Pelodiscus sinensis: one gene and its partners. Each later gene encodes a partner of the first gene's protein in a complex. Links are inferred from orthologs where the notes say so. Each region holds a gene or a part of one and is shown in the gene's direction. Other genes may lie near its edges.

Evidence for each region.
Region 2: CTNND1 (region 1) and CTNNA1 share a complex: the UniProt entries of both Homo sapiens proteins name them as parts of the cadherin:catenin adhesion complex. The link is inferred for Pelodiscus sinensis from reciprocal best matches to the Homo sapiens genes CTNND1 and CTNNA1.
Region 3: CTNND1 (region 1) and CDH26 share a complex: the UniProt entries of both Homo sapiens proteins name them as parts of the cadherin:catenin adhesion complex. The link is inferred for Pelodiscus sinensis from reciprocal best matches to the Homo sapiens genes CTNND1 and CDH26.

What each region holds. Positions count from the first base shown.
Region 1 is NC_134714.1:128,674,692-128,681,830, forward strand, and holds the start of CTNND1 (catenin delta-1), read left to right. Parts: upstream 1-4,134; 5' UTR 4,135-4,280; intron 4,281-4,609; 5' UTR 4,610-4,668; intron 4,669-7,139. UniProt on the Homo sapiens protein: Key regulator of cell-cell adhesion that associates with and regulates the cell adhesion properties of both C-, E- and N-cadherins, being critical for their surface stability.
Region 2 is NC_134727.1:3,751,254-3,758,666, reverse strand, and holds the start of CTNNA1 (catenin alpha-1), read left to right. Parts: upstream 1-4,396; 5' UTR 4,397-4,555; intron 4,556-4,776; exon of another isoform or gene 4,777-4,798; intron 4,799-4,920; exon of another isoform or gene 4,921-5,190; intron 5,191-7,413. UniProt on the Homo sapiens protein: Associates with the cytoplasmic domain of a variety of cadherins. The association of catenins to cadherins produces a complex which is linked to the actin filament network, and which seems to be of primary importance for cadherins cell-adhesion properties.
Region 3 is NC_134728.1:11,396,920-11,404,683, reverse strand, and holds the start of CDH26 (cadherin-like protein 26), read left to right. Parts: upstream 1-4,686; 5' UTR 4,687-4,740; coding exon 4,741-4,773; intron 4,774-7,764. UniProt on the Homo sapiens protein: Cadherins are calcium-dependent cell adhesion proteins. They preferentially interact with themselves in a homophilic manner in connecting cells; cadherins may thus contribute to the sorting of heterogeneous cell types.

The sequences.
Region 1 (7,139 bases):
CGGCGGCTAGGAACACTTACTCTCACCCCCCTCATCAAGGGATTTAGAGTAAATTGGAGGTGCAAGGTCTCTCTGCCCTTGAGTAGGACCCATAATTCAGGTTGGAGGGGGAGAATAATTTATTATCTCTTTCTCCCCGCATAAGAAATTGGAAGTGAAGTGAAGGAGCCTCCTGCCAAGGAAGATGGACAGGGTGGATAGCACTGCATAGGAGAGCTGAACTAGAGCAGTCCCTGAAGTGCTGTTTCCTGCATGCTCCTGCTGCAGTCCCTCTTGTTGGCCCTTTGATTCAGTGCTGGAAGAAAAGGAGGAGGACAAGGATGTTCTTAACTCTCCTCTTTAGTGGGATGGGGAGGAATTCACAGGCTTGAAGGCACAGATCCTCATGAAAGTTAGGTGCCTAAATACCTTTGGGTATGTCTACACTGCACTTGTGCTCATAATAAGCTATGCAATTTGAGTTCCACAAATTGCGTAGCTTTTTTCGAGTGTATTTTGAAATAGCTTATTTTGTAATTTGACACTGTCTTCACGTCAAATTTAGAAATAAACCGCTATTCCAAAATGTCTCTTAATCCTCATGGAACGAGGTTTACAGGGATGTCAGAATAGTGAGCTATTTGAAAATATTATTTCAAAAGCAATTTTGAAATAATGGGCGTGCTGTCAAGACGCAAAATAGCTATTTCAGGATACTGGAAGTATCCTGAAATAGTGCCACAGTGTAGACGTGCCCATTGTGAATCTGCAGCAGATCAAACCTCACAGTAGGGAGGTTTTTCCAGATAATTGTCCTAACTGCTTCCTTTTTAAAATATCATCCCATTCCTCTTTGCTGTCTCCCTTGTGTACCAGCCTCTTTCTCTCCCTCACTGGGGATTACTCTCTTCAAATATTTGCAGGCTGTTATTGTTATCATGTACTCCTTGCTTGACCAAGCTATACACATATTTACCTCTTTTAATCTTTCCCCATAAATCAATCTGCTGTTCATTCCTCATCTCCCTCTGTCTTGTCAATAACTTTCTGGTGACATGGTACTCAGAACTGAACACGTTCACCTGAGTAGGGGCGGGGGGCAGCAAAGAGGGTTTATGTCATCTTTATGGTTTCTAGATTCTGAGGCCAGCTGGGAGTAGGGGTAGGGTGTGAATTGAGCCATGTAGACTCTACATCACTTGGGTTTCCCCCTGGACTTGGGAAATTCCTAGGCAGCTATTTAATCCAGCATTACAGCCCCTTTGTGCTGTGGATCCAAGAATTAGTTCCAATATTCCAGATGTGGTTCCACTCAGACCCACAGTTAAAGCTGTCACCTTCCCGTTTTGTGTGGTGAAGTGCTCAGCCTCCAATCACTCCAGTTTCTTTTGCTTCCAGCTCCTGTCTACTTTAAGCAGTAGCTGCCAGTCCTAAGTCTCTGAAAGCAGTAATGCTTCCTTGGTTTCTCCCCCACACAAAGTGTTAGACTTTGGAAACAGGTGTCTTCAGCTGGACTAGCTGTAGTTTTCAAAGCTAACGTGTTGTTATTTCCTACCCCATCTCTTGACTCTCTAGATCCCTTTGAATTATTTCTCTACACTCAATGCTGTGTACTTAAAAAACAACGAAATATCCTGCAGTAACCCTTAGGATGCATCTAGATTGGCATGATTTTGCGCAAAAGCAAATGCTTTTGCACAAAATCTTGCCACCTGTCTACATTGGCCACGAGTATTTGCGCAAGAACACTGACTTTGTAATGTACAAAATCAACAGTTCTTGCGCAAATACTCCGACACTCCTGCTCAGAGATAAGCCCTCTTGCGCAAGTATTCTTGCGCAAGAGGGCCAGTGTAGACAGCCACGTTAATTTCTTGTGCAAGAAAGCCCGATTGCTGAAATGGCCATTGGAGCTTTCTTGCGCAAGAGAGCATCTACACTGGCACGAATGCTTTTGCACAAAAGCAAATCTTTTGCGCAAAGGCACATGCCAGTATAGACGCTCTCTTGCACAAATACTTTTAACGGAAAATTTTTTCCGTTAAAAGTATTTGCGCAAAATCATGCCAGTCTAGACGCAGCCTTAGAGACTAACAAAAAATGTAGATAGTCTCTAAAGCGCTGCAGGACCATTCGTTGTTTTTAAAGTTTTTTCAGTTAGGGTGCACCTACACAGCACTGTAACTCGAAATAAGATACGCAATTTCGGCTATGCAAATTGCGTATCTCATTTTGATGCTATTTCAAAATAGCTTATTTCGTCATTTGGTGCCAAATTTCAAATTAAAGTGCTATTCCGAAATGTCCTTTATGCCTCATAGAATGAGGTTTACAGTAACGTCGAAATAGCGAGCCCGCATAGGCTTGCTGAGAAGACGCGAGATAGCTATTTCAGGATACTTCAGTATCCCGAAATAGCATTGCAGTGTAGACGTAGCCTTACAGACTAACATGGCTACCCCTCTGAGATTTTTAAAAGCTGTGTACAACACTCTCCCTTAAGTGCCTAGTCCTACTCCGCTTGAAGTCAATGGAAATAATACCAGACCCCTTTGCATCATCTGTTGATTTAAGTGGCATATTGTCTACTTCGCTATTGTGCTTGGTACTGGCAACCTCTCTTGGTCCTGTTGGATTCTGGGAGGAAGGATCTGCTGAGCTCTCAGTACAAGGCAGGGCGAATGTTCTAATGTAGGCCAAGTTCATCACTGATTTCACCACTGTGTCTTTTAGACCCGCTCTAAGCACAGAACAGGGGAGAAAAAGTAGCAGATGGCCAGTCTACACTGATGTGCCTATGTTTCATAAGCGATATATGATGCAGCAGGCTGACAGAGCTGTAGTGAAGAGATCTTTGTTGAACATAGACAGAGGCCAACAACGAGTGTTAAAGGGCTTGTGTTTGGTAGCAGCTCGGTCTAGTATTGCACCTGCTGTCACACCAAACTAATAGTTACTCCTGAAACCTGACCCTCTTTCTCCCCTTCCATTCCTTGTACTGCACCCTGAAGCTGTGTCTAGATTACATCCCTTTTCTCGAAAAAGGGATGTAAGTTAGACACTTCGAAATTGCAAATGAAGCCAGGATTTAAATTTCCCACGCTTCATTTGCATAATGGCGGCCACATTTTTTTTTTTAAATGGGCTTTTTGAAAGAAAAACAAGTGTTTAAACAGGGATCTTTTGAAAATAAAACCCTTTTTCAAAAGATCCTGTACTCTTCAAAAAACTTTATAGAAATATCTAGGTAATGCCCCCCTGCCAGCAAATCCCCCGCTTAATCTGGTGCACCACATTGCACTATGTACCTTCCAGTTTGACACTTATTTGCAAATATAATCAGAATAAACAACTTTTAGGGCTATGATGAAAGAAAACTTGTTAGAACTTTTGTCTCTGTCTCTCTCTTAATTGATGGTCTGGAATCTATAAACTGTGAATTGGATTAAATTAGTAATGCAAAGTAAAATAGCTATTTTCTTCACTGATATGAAAGGAAAAGGAGTGAAGTAAATTCCTTATCCACTCTAGATTTTTAAATTCAGTTTCTTAATTGCCACCAGCAAAAGCCAAACAAGAGCTGATCACACAATCTAGGCTCACACAATCTAGGCTCACATAATTAAAACAAAAACAATAGACTCAAGGTTGAATTTTAAATCCTCAGTTCTCCCCAGATCCAAACACCTTCCCACCCATCTTTTTGTACCATTGTTTTCCCTCCTTTTCAGGTGATACTTACAAAGATGAAAATATATTTACACATAAATAGCACAGGCGATATATAAAAATGAAGTTATTTATTCTCATTTGCAAACAGGCAGAGGAGATGAGTGGGAGAAAGAAACACAAACGATAAAAAGAGACTGGACTGTGTATTGCAGATCATATCAACACATTTATCATCATGCCAAGCCTGTTTTAACCTCCTTCCTTGCAACTGATTTTTGTAATATATTTTTATTTTCTTTCCTCCCCCACCCCCAAAAGTTATTTTCTGCCCTCCTCCTTTTGTTGGTTTTGCTCCCTTTTTCTTTTCTTTTTTCTATTCCCTACAATAAAGTTTCCTATTGGATAATGCCGGGTCCCTTATTGATGCCTGCTTCCCATTGGAGCTTCGTAGACGCTGACATCACTTAGGGAAAGAGGGGTTGGGCGTTGGGCTTGGAAAGCTCAGTTTGTTACCATCACCCCCGTCAGCTTGTCTTTGGCTGGGTCGGGTGCAACTTCCATTTTAGGTGTTGGATCTGAAAGAGGAGGCGAGGGGGGAAAAGCCAGGAAGGATCCCAGAAGAGAAAGAGGTGGAGAAAAAATCACTACATTTATTGGTTTTCTTTTTTTAAAACACATTTTGGCCGGGTTTTGCTTCTTGCGTTTCCTTTAGAGATTTGTTGGAGAAGTCCACCATAGAGTTTTGTGTGTTTGCAAAGCGACCCCCCCTCCCCAAAAAAAAGCTCTCGCCCAAGGGGAATTTTTGTTGGAGACTGGCATATTGTCACCCTGAGAGATTAGAAGGGAAGTTATAAGGCAGAGGAACAGCCGCACTGACAACTTTTAAAATTTATTTTGCTTTTATTTCTTCCCCCCCTGGTACTCAAAAAAAAAAAAAAAAAAAAAAAAACCTCACAAGGTGGAGAAACAAACTCCTGGATTTCGCCAGCGCAGCCCCTGAGAAGGGAGAAAGCCAGGGTAAGAATCATGTTGGTTTTTTTTGTTGCTTTAAAAAAAAAATCTCATCTCTTGTTTTAACGCCTGTTGTTCACTTTGGATTTTTGCTCCTTTTGTACTGCAAGCTAACAACTCTGCCTGGGTTGAATTGCTGGGGAGCTGTTGTTTTTTGTGGTGTCTTCTGAGCAGGCTGGGGGAGGAATGTGATCCAGTTTGCGAAGTGGGCTCTTGGTTTTATTTGCACCCTTTAATATGTTTTCTTTAAAACTTTGGGAAAACTGAGCTGCAGTAGGAAGGTTGTGGAGTTGATCAAGTGTTTTTTATTAAGTGGTGTTCTTGTTGGGAGTGTTGCGGTCCATTCTTTCCATGTCTAAAATCCACACTTTCTGCTTGGGTGGATCCCATTTTTTCCCCCAGGTGCAGTTGGGTGCGGGCCTTTCTCCTCTTAGCCTTCTAAAGAGAATCCATGTTGAGTTATAACCTCTTAATCTTTAGGTGGAGTTAAAAAAGGCTTGAGCGGGGGGAGAGGGGGAAAGGATATTTTTCACGGGTTCTAAATTATAATCAACAACTTGAAATGGGTGTGGAATGACTGCCACACTTAGCAGAGGCTAAGACTTGCAATCAAAACCTGGTCAGCACTCTCCACCTAAGCCGTGGCTTATTTTAACACGTAATGGGGAAGAAGGCAAACTTTAAGAGAGGCTTTAAGCAAACTTATTTTGAAGCAGTTACTTTAGGAACTCAGTCTAACAGATTGTATTTTTTTTTAAATAATTGTTTCTCTGTAACTTTCCTTGAGCTCTTGCGTTCAGTCTCTTGGAAGTGTGTGGAGGTTTGAGGCTTTTAGATACTGCTAAAAATGTACTTCTGTAGCCAGCTCATTGGGAACTAGGACATGCAGCTAGTTTCTAGTCCTGAGTTGTCATCTGTAGAATTAATGCCTCCATTCAAATACAAAAAGCCTGGAATTAGTGTAGTATTTAATTGCAACAAACTGGGGCAGAGAAACAGTCTGTGCTGCTGTTTACAATTATTATAGGAAGTCTGCACTGTCTACTAAATATGTTAAAAACATACTTTCTCTTCTCTTTCTCTCACTTTGCTGTGAAGACCTTCTGATGTCTTATGTTAGACTTAAGATTATTGTGGCCAGAGATCTGGGGAAACTTTTGTGGTGAGAGAAACAGTAAGCAGTCTAGTTTCTGGAAATGTACAGATCCATATTCTATATCTAAGTACCTGTATGGTGTTCCCTCCCCCCCCAGCCTCCACCTGAGGTTTGGTCTTGGATGCAGTAGAGAAAGAAAAGAGGGTGTTCTATTTTGAATGGTTAGAGGATGGTTTGGAAAGGGTCTGTGGGTTTCAGTGATGGCTGGTGTTCTATTTAGTACCCCACATATTATTCTTCCCCCCACTCCTTCCATATCTGGATATAAAGGGTTTGTGAAAGAGGGTAGCTGGTTTGAACCATTTGTATGATTGGCTTTAGTAGCCTTTCACAGCCAGGGAGCCCAGAGGAAGTGCTCTGACAGCTGGGGAAAGAACACAAAAACACTTCTACAAGTAGATTAGGAATGACTTGTCTCTGGGTGGCCTTGAGTGGTGCTATTACTGTGAAAGAAGTACTTCCCACACCCAAAGCTAATTGCAAAACCCTTTTCCTATGATCAGTCTTGTGCTGCTGATACACGTACTGAGGTCTAAGTCCTGAAGTCTAAGTCCTGAAGTATACCTTTGAAGTATCTGGGCTTTGAGTGAACCGTGTAACCTTGACCCCTCAGCCTCTTTCCACACCCCAACAAAACAAGTGACCTTTCTGTGCCAATCTTCTAGTTGGCACATGGAGCAGGATAGAGAATGTCTCTCTCTTTAGACAGGTATTTAATATTGGAGTAAGGGGTGGCCGGTGTTGCAACTAGTATCCTGCTCTCTTTTCCTGCATCATAATTTCATTTGTGTTTAGAGTAAGGGAAGTTGCTTATATATGTTTTGGAAGCAGAGAGTATTTTGGGCGTGCAGGCCTTTCCTTGGGAGGAGGGATAATTCTGGCCCCAGGGTTATGTGCTGTAAATCTTTTCAGTGATGCTTTTCTAAGATTTTCTCCTGTGGAGTGTGCGTGTGCGCGCGCACAGACTAGATCTACCTTGGGCAGATGAAATCTTAAAACTGTTATCTAATTTTCCTCCTCCTTTGTTCTTGCAGGGAAGGAACTGTGACTCTAGGGAGGGTCAAAACTGCTGGGTGGAGTCCATCAATACCCCTGCCCCCAGCCCAGGCCCCCCTCTCCCTCCCCCAAAGAGTCCTGGTAATGTAGCAGCCTTTTCTTTAAGAAACGAATCCCCTTTTCTCTCTGGCTCAGTAAGTGACATTGAAATGTCTCCAGTTAAGGAAAATCCCCCAGCAGTCTGCTCTCAGGGGTGCTGGGTGCAGCAGGATATTTTTTTTCCTGTGTTCATTGGCAGCACTCTTTGTCAGTTAGCAATGCATCT
Region 2 (7,413 bases), on another chromosome or scaffold:
GATGCCCAGCACATCTACTATAATGTAAGTTAAAAATCCATTTTGGTCTAGAAAAGTTTTACTTATTGCTATCGCACCTACAATGTCTGCACCTGAAAGAGGCTGGAGAATGAAAGGCTTTTTTTGTTTTTGACTTCATTTTGTATTGCCCATTTTACTTCTATTATGTAATAGTGTCTTTCATATAGCAAAGAGAAGAGAAAAGAAAAAAAAATGTGATTACAAAACCACAAGTCTTAGCATTGAGAACTCTGCAGCAAATGTACCATTTAAGACAACTTTTAGCTAGTTTTTTTTTTTTTTAACTTGACTAGTTTCAAGCATTGCTTCACTCTTAATGATGACTTCTCTTTTAGGAGTTCTTGCTGTTGATATGGGCATTTTGTTTGATCAACACCTTCTGTTTTATTCAGAGTGATAGAGATCCCTGTTGTTATAATCTAGGGAGAACTGTTAATCAGGACAGAAACTCCAGTCTCCTCCCCGAGGTGACTTCATTTTTATATCTTTAGCTTTGACAGCTGTATATTTAAACTTGTGATACGTACACGAACCAACAGAATTGCCACTTAATCTTCTATCCTTAGTTGTCTAAAAGGGATTATTGCCTGCAATGTTGTGCTGATTTCTAGCCACCATTTTGTCCCCAAAGCATGTGGGAAGTGCTGAATGCAGAAGCCACCGCAGGAAGCCAAGACATAATATTAAAAGAATTAATGAAAGAGAGCAAGCCATTGAAGTATAGACTGAATTTTATTGAGAATATGCTACAGATCAAAAATAATTGATTGGATTCCCTGCTGCCAATGACACTGAAAATATTAATGGTTTAGTGCAAGCTGAATACCCCAAGCCCTTAAAAATCTGTTGTTAAAGAGCCTATTTATTTAAAGGACTGTCAATGAACAGTTCGTGCTATCTTAATAAATCGTCTCTCAGCCAAGGTTACAGTCCTGAACTCAGGACCTGCAGTGGAAAAACTCAAATTGACAGGATGGTTTCCTTGCTGCATGCAGTCTATTTTCATTAAGGACTTTGGGATGATGGGTACGATTCTCCTTTCTCTGTCCTGGGGCTAACTGCTCCCTGCTCTTGGTTAAACCTATGGGAAGGGATTAAATATGAAATCTCTGCCTGGTGCATTATCTCTTCCACGGACTTGTTAATATCAGGGGGGCCATGATCTAAGGGGATTTCAACCTTCATCCTTGCAAAGCATGGATAGGTGCCTGCTCTGAAATCCTTCCTGTTCCCACAGCATGGCTCCTGCGGACATCAGGATGAGAAATGCTGTGTGTCCCCCTGCAAAAATCACACAGGGCACAGCTATATTCTCCTTGACAAGACTCGCTGTGGTTTTTGATTGACATCGGCCAGAAAACAGAAATAGCGCGTGGATTCAGATGACTCAGTAACTGACATGTTTGAGATATGAAACATTACTTTAATTCAGTCACTATTGCAATGCAATCATTTTCTATAGAAACATTCATATAAAAAGCCATCTCAAAATGTGTTATGAAAAGCAATAAAAACCCAACTGAATATGACACAGAAAGGGTCAATTTCTCACACTGCTGCTTTGTGAGAGACTTTGAAAAAAACCTCCTCATACACAAACTTGCCAACCCTACCTCAGTTAGTTTAAACTTTGTCAGTTCTTAAAAGTCTGTTCTCTTCTGATGAAGGTTCTTGCTCTGATTCAACGAAACATTTAAAATAATATGCATCATTTCCTCAAATCTTCCTTGTTTGCTTTATCACAGCTTTGACAGCCCTTTTATGACACAGCTTTAAAGTATTTGCCTTATTTAAGATATTTGCATGAAAACAGCAACTTTAAAAAAAAGCAACACCATCTAAAATATTAATATATAACATTTAGATTTTATAAAGGAAAAAAAATGAAACCTGTGTGGAATAGAAGAGTTTGCAACATTTGTTTTTTAATTTTAGAGAGTGAGTGTGTGTGTGTACATACACCCACCACCTGCTACCCTCCACTTTTGTTCTAGAGACTATAAAAAGTAAAGACACATCAAACTTTTATTATGAAACTTGAAACACACAAATCATGTCTGCTGTCAAGCTTTGACAACTTCAGAACTCTGCCCATGTTTATCAAACAATGTTAAGGTTCAAAAAACATGGAACTGGAGAATTGCCCAGATCCAAAAGTTCCAATGTGGATTTTGAATACCAATGTGATCTTAGAACATCAATGTGACCCCAGGTTGGTCTGAACCATTCTAAAGCCATTATATGTATGTAAAGTTCACCTAAACCTCTCCTGGTTTTGGTTCCTGTGGTTTTACATTCTCTCCCCCTTGGGTTTTAAAAGAACTAGCCTTACTGCACCTGCTTTGGTCTCAGCACTGAGCAAAAGGGTACATTTTCCAAGCATTAGATGTGAAATTGGCAGGGTCAACAGCCTCGCCAGGACCTGGGCAAGGCAGGTGTGGAGCCTCAAGTAGAAGGGAGCCCTCAGTACTGCCCAGAAAGCACTGTGCCTCCCTCCCAGCCATAGTGCCGGACAGAGCGCACTGCGTCTCATTCTGGCAGCGATTTAAAGGACTTGGGGCTCTCACTGCCTCCGCTGCTGCAGTACCCGCAGCAAGATCTTTGGGCCTTTTTGCATCACTAGGTCCTGCCCAGGGCATTTCCCTCTTTGCCCCTGTGAAATCTTAAAGCAACCCAAGTTTTCTGGAAACTTCACTCAGAAGTAGCGTTGGGCCTGAACCCAAAACCGCATGAACTGAGATCACAGGTGAGTGTTGCACCCTTTTGCCTAATGCTCTTATGAAAGCAAGTACAGTAAGACAGATTTTGACTGAGGCTAGCTTTATTTATATGTGAAACTCTAGGAAGTGTGGTGTGAAACCACAGCACCCAAAACAGGAACAGCGGTTTAGGTGAAACAGATGATACTATCACACACGCCTTTGATAGGAAAGTGAAATGGAGCCCTAAGTTTTCTTCACCCACTGAAGTTAAAGAGTGAAAGAGAGTATGACCTGTTTGTTCAATAGTCCAATGTAGTTAGGTTTGAGTAATCTCCAGTGATTCTGGTTCAGAGGAGATATGGAGTGCAAGTGTTATGGATAGGTTTATCTATCTAAGCACTGCTCATCATTATAGTAGTGGGGTGGTAGATTTTGGACCCCCCCCTTACGGAATTAGGTCCAGATTTGAATTTCTCCTCTGGTGCCTGACATTGGACTAGGTCAAATGCCAGATCTAAACCCCTTCACCAGACGAGAGGCTGAAATCTGAACCCAGATTTGATCCAAACTTCATAACTGGGCATCAGTCTGTGAAATGCTGACCCAAATCCCAGAGCCAATGCCTAGCCCAGTGGTTCTCAGACTGTGGGTTGGGACCCCAAAATGGGCTGCAACTCCATTTTAATGGGGTCACCAAGATTGATGTTAGATTTGCTGTGGCCCAGGGATAAAGGAGAAGACTGAAGGCTTTAGCCCTGGATGGCAAGGCTCAGGTTACAGCCCCCCTGCGAGCGGCTGAAGCTCTTGGGCTTCACCTCTCCCCACCCCGCACTGGAGCAGCAGGACTTTGGCTTTGGTTTCTCCTTTCCCCGCCCCGTTCAGGAAAGCTCAGGCTTTGGTTCACCATCGTGGGAACATGTCATCATTTTTGTTGTCAGAAAGAGTTTACTGTGTAATGCACAATGAGAGCCCCTGGCCTAACCTCACTGCCTTGGGACTTGAAATCTAGACCTGAACATTGACTCTTGGAGCTGTCCTGTCTCATTCTGCCTCCTCTAGCCACACCCTCTGCAGCCACCAGGATGCACCTTATTCCCATAGGGAAGACCCTATTAATAGCTTGAACTTCCTGTGCCATGGAGCCAGGTCCACTGCCCCCCATCTCACCCCACTCACTGCCCCCCCAGCCATCTGCCCCCATCTCACCCCACTCCCTGCCCCCCCAGTTCTCTGCCCCATCATCCCTGTCTGCCCCCAGCCATCTGCCCCCCCATCTCACCCCACTCACTGCCCCCCAGCCATCTGCCCCCATCATCCCTCTCTGCCCCCCAGCCCTCTGCCCCATCTCACTCCACTCCCTGCCCCCCAGCCATCTGCCCCATCTCACTCCACTCCCTGCCCCCCAGCCCTCTGCCCCATCATCCCTCTCTGCCCCCATCTCACCCCACTCCCTGCCCCCTCGCCCTCTGCCCCCTTATTTCCATCCCTACCACTCCACGCCCCTGCCCCCCAGGCCGCCCCAGCGCCAGCCGCGCAGGCACCTTCCTCTCACCTGAAACTCTGACTCACCCCCTGCGCGCTGTTCCCACCCCGGCCGCTCCGCCCGCCGCGCGTGGGACGAGCTCCCAGCCTCTCACCTGCGCGGGGCGGGCGGTCCCGGGAAGAGCCGGGCGAGCTGCCGGGGGAGGTGCCCGGAAGAGCCGGCCGGGCCGTAAGGGGAGGTGCCCGGAAGGGCCCATTTCCTCCTCTCCGGCCGGGACGGGCGCGGCGCAGAGACAAAGCGGCTGAGGCGGCTCCGACCCCGGCTCCAGCGGCGCCTCCGGGACCCGCAGGTAACTTCCCGGCCGAGTGGGGAACTCCCCCCCCGCCCCCCGCCAGCGGGGCCCCTGGAGCCGCCCGGGTCTGGCGCGAAGCGGCCCGCTCCTCACAGCGGGGGGGGGAGCCGCCGCCTCAGCCCCCGCCCCGGCTTTGTTCGGCCTGGGGGGAGGGGCCCCGCAGTGAGCCCCCCCCCGCGGGAGGGCCCCAAGGGCGTTTCCCGCCCGGCCCCTCAGCGATTGTTGCTCGAGCCGCTGCAGGTAACAGGAGCCGCGGAAAAGTTTCCAGACGCGGGCGGGCGCCGTGTCCCCCTCGCGGGCCCCGCCTCATGGGGGGGGCTCCGCATCCGTGCACAGCGCGGCTGAATGTGGGACCTGCGGCCCGCCCGTAGCCCCCCGCTCCGAGGGGCACGCGGTGGCGTCCTCCCCGCCGTCTGCGGGGGGGCTCTGCCCAGCGGCGTCGGTGGGGCGCGGAAGGTGCGTGGCTGGACTGGGCAACGGGAGGCCTGTAGCCGGCCAGACCAGCACAGCGCTTCCCTTAGCGCAGTCGCTTAATTGTCACGTAGGCCTCATGCCAAAACCGACACATTGCTCTTGTCTTGTGACACTGAAGTGGCTTTTCTGGACTCTGCAGTGAAGAACGAGAGCAAGTGGTACGTACCCAGGGCCTGAAAACTCACTCTGCTTTGCAAAGGAGTGTTGCTGTGTCGCTGGATGGGTTTTCACTTTAAGTATGTCTAGCTTGTGTAGTCTACCTTTGCCTTGCAAAAGCAGAAAAATACACGAGAACCCCAGTAATATACATATTATAGTAAAGTTTCAGAACCAGTTCTGGGTGGAGGTAGAGTGTTACACGAGAACCCCAGTAATATACATATTATAGTAGAGTTTCAGAACCAGTTCTGGGTGGAGGTAGAGTGTTACACGAGAACCCCAGTAATATACATACTATAGTAAAGTTTCAGAACCAGTTCTGGGTGGAGGTAGAGTGTAAGGAACCTACAACAAAATGTATTTCTCTTCCTAAGTGACTTATGCAATATCTGTACAGTTGCTTGGTGATTCCCTCTGGACACTTCTGTTTCAGGTCAGTAGTGCTGGTCATTTACTTCTATGAACTACTGGTCACATGCTGTCAGGATCCTCCTATATCACTTGACTACTGCACTAATCTTGTCTGGCCTTGATGCTTGCAAACTGTCTGCATTTAATGCAGGAGCAAAGATAAGGAGCTAGGCTTGATTGTCATTTCTTCCCCACCCCATTCCATTCTTAAGTCCCTTCATTGGCTTCTCCTTCTCCAAACTCATCATAGACAAACGTACATTGACAATCCTTCTAATTTGTTCCCTATCTTTACTTAACTAATGCTAGGCTTAATTGAATTCTTGTGGTACTATCTCCTCCTTGTGCATGAGGAGTAGCAAACCTTCCTGTCCAAACTTGTAAAGTCACTATATTTTCCTCTGTCATTCCTCAAAACATACCTGTGCAGATACTGAAAACCACAGCCTGAAAATTTCTAGGTGGGCAGTGATATGTAATTACAAACCTTGCCTTGCCTAAGAACTGTGCATTTATTGTCTATTTCCCAAGACTCTTCCTCTCCGCCTGTCCTCTACCACTGTGCTTGAACATTTCTCTTACCTGTTTTATTTTGCCTCTTGGATTGTAAGCTTTTGGGGTCAGAGACTGTTTCCTCTGTCTGTACAATGACTAGTACAATAGGCCTGCAATTTGATTGATCTCTAAGTATTAGTATATTGTAAATACATAATGAGCTAGCTACCTCTTTGAACAAAGCCTGATGTTTAAAAAAAAGCCTATTTTGAAAATGCTTTATATATGTGGCTTAAGAATGACTGTGCCCATTTTGCTTTAAAATATAAACAAACCCCCCAAGTTTCCAAAACAGAGTTTTTCTGCACCCCCCCCAAAAGTTTGTAGTTAAAAAGGTCAGTTTTGAACATCTCAGCTTTTCCATGAAAATGGCTTTATTTTTCTACCAATTCTAATAGGAATCTGAAGCAGAGTAAATGTTTATCTAAGGTGGACAGAGTTAGAATTAGAACTCTTATCTTCACACTAACTAAAATAGTCAACAAAATATTTTTATGTTTAATATAAAACTTTTAAGCTTCTTGAGGTCTTAAAAAGTAAACCAATTAATTAGTAGCTTCACATTTGGTTTCTTCCTGTGAAGTTTGAGATGTTGTTTGCCATGCAGTTTCTTCATGCAGAGGAGTTCCATGGTAATTGCTCTGAATGAAGTAATAACAAGTAATTGGAGGATAAGAGATTTAAACAAATCTTCTGCATAGATCAACTACTTGAGTGCCTCCTTGCAACTAATTGAGAAATAGCTTTTACAAGAGAATCAACAATGGCAGTATTTAAACTGGAAATATATTTAAGTGGAATTTTAACATGAATTGAAATTAGATCCTGTTGTCAGACAGTGGAGGTGGGTGGCTTCATAAATTCCTTTCTCCTGCAAAGAATTAATTGGAAATGTTACTTGTCATCTGTAATGAAACTGAGCAATCCATAGATATTAAGATAAGCCTCGGGTGAGGACAGAGCATTTTATGGTCCCCTGTGCAAATGCTTGTTAAATCATCAATAGAGTAGTGTTGGATACTCAATTGAGATTCCTACATCTTCTGAATTAACTAGACATCAAATAGAATATGGCAGGCTGACTTTTACTGTGTTGCTAACGTGAAACTGGAATGTTTGTGTCCTTTTCTCTTGTAATACAATGCCTTTCTTGGAAATCCCCAAATGCTTATTCCACTGAACTTGAAAAGTTATTTGCTTAAGGCAGGGGTGCCCAAACTTTTTTTCAAAGAGGGCCAGATTTGATGAAGTGAACA
Region 3 (7,764 bases), on another chromosome or scaffold:
GTTCATATAAGTCCTGACCCCTTATGTCATCTACAAAAATAATTTATTAGCTTTCACAATAGTCTCTTCAAACGTGCATAATTTTCAAAGAGAGTCTTTTACACCTATATGCAGACAATGCCTTAGACACTATGGGTACATCTAGACTACAAGCCTCTTTCGACAGAGGCTTTTTAGAAAGTATCTTTTGAAAAAGCTTCTTTCAAAAAAGAGCGTTTAGACTGCACTAAGCAGATTGAAAAATCGATCCGCTTTTTCGAGAGAGAGCGTCCAGACTGCCTGTACGCTCTGTCGAAAAAAGGGCACCTGGAAGCATTTCTGCCAGGACATGAGGGTAGCCTTTATTTCCGGGTCCTGCAGCATGCTCTTTGCAGAGACGCGTGCTTTAAGGGATCCTCCTGAACAGCCATTCCTCTGCTCCTGCAGCTGGCTTGCCTACCTCCTAGAGGGACAGCAAAGCTTCTGCAGTGCTTGCTTGGAGTGCCCTGCTTTGTGGGACACCATAGCATTTGGTTTCCTGGTTGGTTTTTGTGCTTTCAATCATTTTTTTGCCATGGAGCTGGAGCTGCCCCTGGGCAGGCGATGGCCCCACACTGTGATGCTGGAAGTTCTGCTGCATCTTCATGAGACCATCATCATGTTCATGGCACAGCTGGATTCAGAGCCCAGCTTTGAGCCCTTCACTCAAACTGCAGCCCCACTGTCCTTACCACCTAACTTATTCCTGGAGAGGGGAGTTTGAAGGCTGGACACCAGTTCAGACTGGTGGGACCATCTTGTTAGGGAGCAGGGGGACGACAAGGCTTGGCTCTGAAACTGCCATATGCGGAAGTGCATGTTCCAGGAGCTGTGTGCCTGGCTCACCCCTGCCCTACAATGTCAGGACACCCACTTGCGACCTGCCATCCCCCTGGAGAAGTGTGTCGCTATTGCTCTATGGAAGCTGGCCACCCCCGACAGCTACCGCTCGGAACACCAGTTTGGTGTGGGGAGGTCTACTGTTGGGGCCGTCTTGATGGAGGTAAGTCACTCTCTAGGGACAGTCCATAGTGGGGGAGGTGGATAAGGGGGACAGTCAGGACCGGGCAGAGGGAATGGGGTGGGAATGGTAGAAGCCCTCCTGGCCTCTCACTGCTGTGGTGGGGGGGGGGGTGGGGAAGGAGGGTTGCCTGAGGGGGTGCTCTTGGGATCGGGGAGGGGTGAGGGAGCACCTCTCATCAGCTCAGGCAACTCCTCTAATTTCCTCTTATATGTGTTTCTATTTGTCCCTTTCTGCAGGTGGTGACGGCCATCAATTCGGAGCTGCGTCAAGGACTGTCCGCCTTGGAGACCTGGATACCATTGTGGCTGGATTTGCAGGGCTAGGATTTCTGAACTGCGGTGGAGCACTCAATGGGACTCACATCCTGATCCGCGCACTTCCCCATTGTGCAGCGCAGTATATTAACAGAAACGGCTACTTTTCCATGGTGCTGCAGGCCCTGGTTGGTCACCGGGGACAATTCACAGATGTTTGTGTCAGGTGGTCAGGCCAGGCACACAATGCCTGCATCTTCCAGAACTCATACCTGTACCGCAGGCTGGGACATTCTTTCCAGAGCAAAACTTTGCAGTCGGGAATGTGCAGATGCCTATGTCCATCGTGGCCGATGTGGAGTACCCCCTTATGCCCTGGCTCACGAAGCTGTTCACTGGGCACCTGGATTCGAGCAGGGAACTGTTTAACGCCCACCTGAATCAGACTCGCTTCCAGGTAAAGTGCGCCTTTGGCCATCTGAAGGGCAGGTTTAGATGCCTGCTCACTCGGCTGGACATGGGTGAACGCAACATCCCCAAAGTGATTGCTGCCTGTTGTGTGCTGCACAACCTGGGGGAGAGGAAAGGGGAGGCCTTCCTCCCTGTGTGGGGGACATGGGCTGATGTGGAGGGGAGGCTGTTTGAGCAGCCCTGGACAGCTGCCATCCTCCAAGCCCACCAATTGGGATTGTGTATTTGGGAAGCCCTGACGGAGAGATTCTCCCAAGGAGCCCGATGAGTTTCCCAAGGGCCTTCCAAATGTGGGTGTGCCCCATGCCCCCAGTGCCTTCCCCCCAAAACCTATCTCTGCCCCCCGTTGTACACATTCACACAGAGAACAGAGATAGGTGTGCTTGACAAAATGCTTACAGTTTATTGCACTGTTGTATGTTACAAAACCTATATCACTGTTTTGTAAAGAAAAATAAACTTTTTGTTAACAATGTAAAATGCTTCCCTTAGGGTATGTCTATACTGCTACCCTAGTTCGAACTAGGGTGGCTAATGTAGGCATTCGAACTTGCAAATGAAGCCCGGAATTTAAATATCCTGGGCTTTATTTGCATGTTCCCTGGTGCCACCATTTTTAAATGCCCCCTAGTTCAAAGTACCTACCCGCAGCTACATGCAGCACAGACTAGGTAGTTTGAATTAAAACTCCTAATTCAAACTACCGTTACTCCTCTTGCAATGATTCTAGCTTCTACTAGACTAGCAAAAAGACTCCTCACTTACTTACACCCACCAGCCCAACTCAGTTCACTCAACTATGGCAGAGGGGAGGCTTGTTCCTCTGAGACCTCTTACAATGAGGGTGTCTCTCCTGCAAACACTGGTGTCATATTTTACAGTTTCCACATTTATGGCTGGCATGATTTGTGACCCCCACAACATCCCCAAATTAGTTACAATACACCACATTCCATTCCAACACTGATCGTCCATCAGGCCTGGCTGAATTGGATTTACATAGCCACACCTTGTATTCCCTCCCCCTCCTGGCATGAGCTGTATTTACATATCAAGTCAACAGTTAACAGTTAATTATCTTGCAGAGCTAAACAATTGGAGTGAGCACACTCACCCACAGGGCAGCTGTCTCCTTTTAGCTGTCTGATAGCAAGCAGTAGTTTAGCCCCTGCTTATAAATGCTCCACTGCTTCCAGTCCATCCCTACAGAGTGATGCCCCAGAAATACTGGTGTCCTAGGCAACTGCCTACTCTGCCTATGGCTAAGGACTTCCCTGCTCTTCCAACCAGAACTCCAAGAGGGCTTTGATCTCAGGCGCAGACTAGGAGGGTGCCTGGCATTTGGTGCCCTTGGCTTGGTGCGGGGATGTGTCCCTGGAAGGGTCAGGAGGGCTTTGGGGAACTTGTCCCTGGGACATGGCTCTGAGTGTGCCTTCCAGCAAGAGCCGAGAAGTCAGGATCCTGGTTGGAGCTGGCTTGCTGCCACAATGCTACTCCTGGGCGCCTGTGCCTTTAAAAGATGCTACAGGCAGGAACAATGGCGGTGAAAGGTCTGGCAGGGGTGTCCACCAGGGCTTCTTCCTGGAAGCATTTAAAAAAAAAAAGAAAAAAACCTTTTCCACATCCACACATACCTTTTTTTGACAGATCTCTGTTGAAAATAGCATTATTTCTCATAAAATGAGGTTTACTGCCATCAACAAAACTGCCGAGTTTTTTCGATTTACTGTCGACAGAACGCGGCAGCAGTCTAGACACAGGTAAATATTTTTTGAAAAAAGGCTACTTTTTTCGAAAAATCCCTGTAGTCTAGACACACCCTATGGGCAACCTCTCTTTCCTGCAAGGCACTGAGTGCCCTTGAAACTAGCCGGTAGCAGCCTGGGCACTGCACTCCACTTTTCTGTAGATATTGTGTTGTTCTCCAGCTTCTCAGATTTTGTACTTCTGAAAAGAAATCTCCAGTTGTCATGGTTGTGAAGAAAACCGCAGAAATGTGACCTTAACTGAAAATGTGGAGACCAGCTAGTTGAGTTTGTAGGAGCCTGGAACCACGGGGTGGGGCAAACTGCCCCATTCTTCCAGGGAAGTTGTTACTCAGAGGCCTAGTGATGATTTCAGTGTCAACATTGTTAATTATTTTATTGCAGCAGTAAGAAAGATGATATCAGAGACATGCACAAGGCTGGAACAATTTGTGTAGCGGGGTGCTGAGAACCATTGAACCAAACTCTAAGTCCTGTATCTGATGGGAACCACTTCAAACCAGATGAAGTAGCACCTCTAATTCCCTCACCCAGGGGGTCTCATTTTACTACAACAGGTGGGTAGTGCTGAAGAGATACCACTATTTATCCATCCCCTCCCGCCCAGCCCAGGAAGTCAGCATGTGGTTCTCCTAAAGCATAACCCAGGTGGAGCCCAGCAGAGCGGACAGCGCATGGTCCTATATTGAACGGTACCACCTCCCTTGAGCCGAGCCTCGGGTTGCCACGGGCATGGCCACAGTTTGCTTTGGGGGCAGAGCTCTCCCCCCCCTCCTCAGTCTGAGCCCCCCCCCCCAAGCCACACGCTTTGGTGAGAAGTGAGGGGACAGGCTCACGCCGCGGGGCGCCCTACAACGCAGCCCTGCAGCCTCCAGGGAAAGGGGGTGAGGGAGGAGGGTGCCCCCAAATCGCGCGCCCGCCACCCACACGCTCCTACACCGTCTGCGCGGACCGGACTCGCAAGGTGCCCCCCACCCCTAGGGGGGCGGGTCTGCCTGCAGCTCCAGTAGCGACTTGCAAGGCGGCGGACAGCTCCCCCCAGCCGGCCTGGGGAGCCTCTGCATCGCCCGCCCGGGCCCTGCAGTGGAAGGGAGGGGGCGGCACGTGGCCGCCCCGGCTGCTCCCCCAGCCGGCTTTATAAGCTGGGAGGCAGCGCCGCCGCGGATCACATCAGCGGGAGTTCCCGGGACCGCCTGCCCCGCTGGCCATGGGGTGCCTCGCTGCGCTGCTGCTCCTGGCGGTAGGTGTGGGGGTCGCCGCGCTTGCGAGGGGGACAGGGCGCCTCGTGGAGGTTGGGCAGGGGGAGGTCGGGAACCGCGCACTGGAGGAGGCTGGAGCTTTGCACAGGCAAGGGATGCGGGAGCGGGGGAGATGATGAGCCGGTGTTAGGGGAAAACCCTTTGGAAATACCCATCTTTGCTCTTGAAACTGTTCTCCGGTCAACCCACCGGCTTCGCTGAGGCACCGATCTCAAAGAGGGGGGCTTGGCAACATTTGAGTTTTTACAACCATTTCATATTTTTAAGCGTTTGGGTTTTTAATCAGTTTCAGTTTTCTTTGTTGTGAGAAGTTAGGGAGCGACCAGACACTAGTTATTTAATGACAACAGTTAAGAGTCAAAAAGTTATGGTTTTATAACCATTACAACGCAGGTGGTCAACAGAATATATCAACACATGCCAAGTAAAAACTATATCTTTCAATTCAATCCTAGAATGTTCTCCAACCGAATTTTTCTTACTTTGCCTATCTGTAAATATCAACCATCATGGAAGGAAATGTGTCAGTTTGTGTATGTTCTGTGACATCAACATTTGCCAAAAAAATCTAATCCTTCCAAGCCCACAAATAGGTTCTTGCATGCAAAATGTAACCAAACAAGATGGGGATACTCCCACAAGGTAAAACTATGGAAATGACACTTAAAAAGACCGGATACCATTCTCAGTCCCCAGTTCTAGAAAGACTTACACACCTGCTTTTCTTAGCTTTTTTAAGCATAATACTAGTCCCATTAAGTGCAGTGGAACTAGTGACACACATGAAGTTAAACATGTGTGAAAGGTTCTGCAGAACCTTATTTAAACACAAGAGCATACCAGAGAACCCACAGAATTGCAAAGTCAATTGATTATTTAATAAAAACATGTATATTTCACACCTGTTCATTTATGAACTACTAGAATTAATACAAAACCAGTATAAAGTGAAAAGACCTTGTTTACATAGATGTGCTCTTTTATGGCTACAGGCAGTCCCCGGGTTACGTACAAGATAGGGACTGTAGGTTTGTTCTTAAGTTGAATCTGTATGTAAGTCGGAACTGGCGTCCAGATTCAGCCGCTGCTGAAACTGACCGCCAGTTCTGACTTACATACAGATTCAACTTAAGAACCCCAAGCTTCCCCAAGTCAGCTGCTGCTGAAACTGATCAGTGCTGATTCCAGGAAGCCTGGGGCAGAGCAACTCTTCCTCCGGCTTCCTGTAGTCAGCGCTGGTCAGTTTCAGCAGTGGCTGACTTGGGGACGCCTGGGGCAGAGCAGCTGGGGTGCTGCTGGGTTGCTCCAGTAGCACCGCTCCTCGGCGCTACTGGACCAACCCAGCAGCACCCCAGCTGCTCTGCCCCAGGCGTCCTGATTCAGCCACTGCTGAAACTGACCAGCAGCGGCTGAATCAGGACCTGGGGCAGAGCAGCTGGGGTGCTGCCGGGTTGGTCCAGTAGTGCCCAGAGCGGGCGCTGCAGGACCAATCCGCAGCGCCCCAGCTGCTCTGCTCCAGGGTCCAAAACAAAAGCCTGGTCTGCTGGGGGGGGGCACACTAGCCGTGCCCCCCCCAGCAGACCAGGGACACGGGGAGCAGAGCCGCAGCGGCAGCGGGGTGCCGCGCCTCTGAGGCTTTGCTCTGGCAAAGTCTCAGAGGTGCGGGACCCCCCCGCGGCTGCGGCTTGAGTCCCGGTGCCTGTGGTCTGCTGGGGACGGTCCCCAGCAGACCACAGGCACCGGGACTCAAGCGGCAGCAGCGGCGGTTCCCCGCGCTTCTGAGGCTCTGCTCTGGCAAAGCCTCAGAAGCGCGGGAACCCGCCCGGTGCCTCTGGTCTGCTGGAGACGGTCTCCAGCAGACCAGGGGCACCGGAGCAGCTTACGAACGGGGCTTTCTCGCCCCGGAGCTCACAGGTAGCAATCTGCTACCTCGACCTCCGGGGCGAGAAAGCCCCGTTCGTAAGTGCGGATCCGACGTAAGTCCGATCCGCGTAAGTCGGGGACTGCCTGTATAAAGTTTCCTCTTCTCTTAACTACAATTTCCTCTTCTCCTAACTTAAAAGCAAGGTCAGGGTTTGGTTGTTCCAGGACAACTGGAAGTCCTGGCAGAAGGACAGTTTTCCATAAAATGCAAAGGGATGGGCTGCTGTTTGGAGGGATATCAGTTTCCATTGGGGGCAGAGAGACTGCAGGGAAGAGCTATGCTGCAGTGCAGAGTGTTCACTGGCAGCAACTATACCACCAGGAAAGTGACCAGCAGGATTGGGGCTCTCCTATCTTGCCTGCTAGCACACAAAGTAGCTCCCCTGACCCCAAACCTTTCCCCCCTTTAGCACAGTGCCAGAGGTGGAGAAAAAAGGCCCCTGGCAGTGGGGGGACAGCTGGGGGAGAAAAAAGCCCCCCTCTCCTGAGCCCCTCCTTACCCTCCAGACCTCACTCTTATACCCGCCTGTCCCAGGCTCCTCCATCCGCTCTATATCCTGAAAGCCCTTCCCTCAGTCCTGCACTCCCTCCCCCACACCACCACCCTTCTGCTTTGAAGGATCCGGGCAATGCAGGGTAAGTCTGCTATGCTCGTACTCCTAAAAAAACACGCACAATTACCATGATTATATGTGCATATTTCATAGACTAAGGCCAGAAGGCACTACTGTGATGATCACATAGCCTGTAGAATTTACCCCAGAAACTGGATTAGAGCATGTCTTTAAGAAAGAAAATTGCATTTTAAAGATTTTAAGAGTTTGGATTCACTATTTCTCCTGGTAAGCCATTCGTTCCAACCCTTAATTAGCTTCACTGTTAGAAATTGCCATATTTCAAGATTAAATTTGTCTGATATCAATTTCCAGACATTGGTTCTTGTTACCTCTTTATCGGCAAGGCTGAAAAAGTCCTTAGCCCCCTGGGGTTATGTATATTACGGAGAAGATTGACCCTCCAAAGGTCGATCTTCTAGCATTTGAATTAGC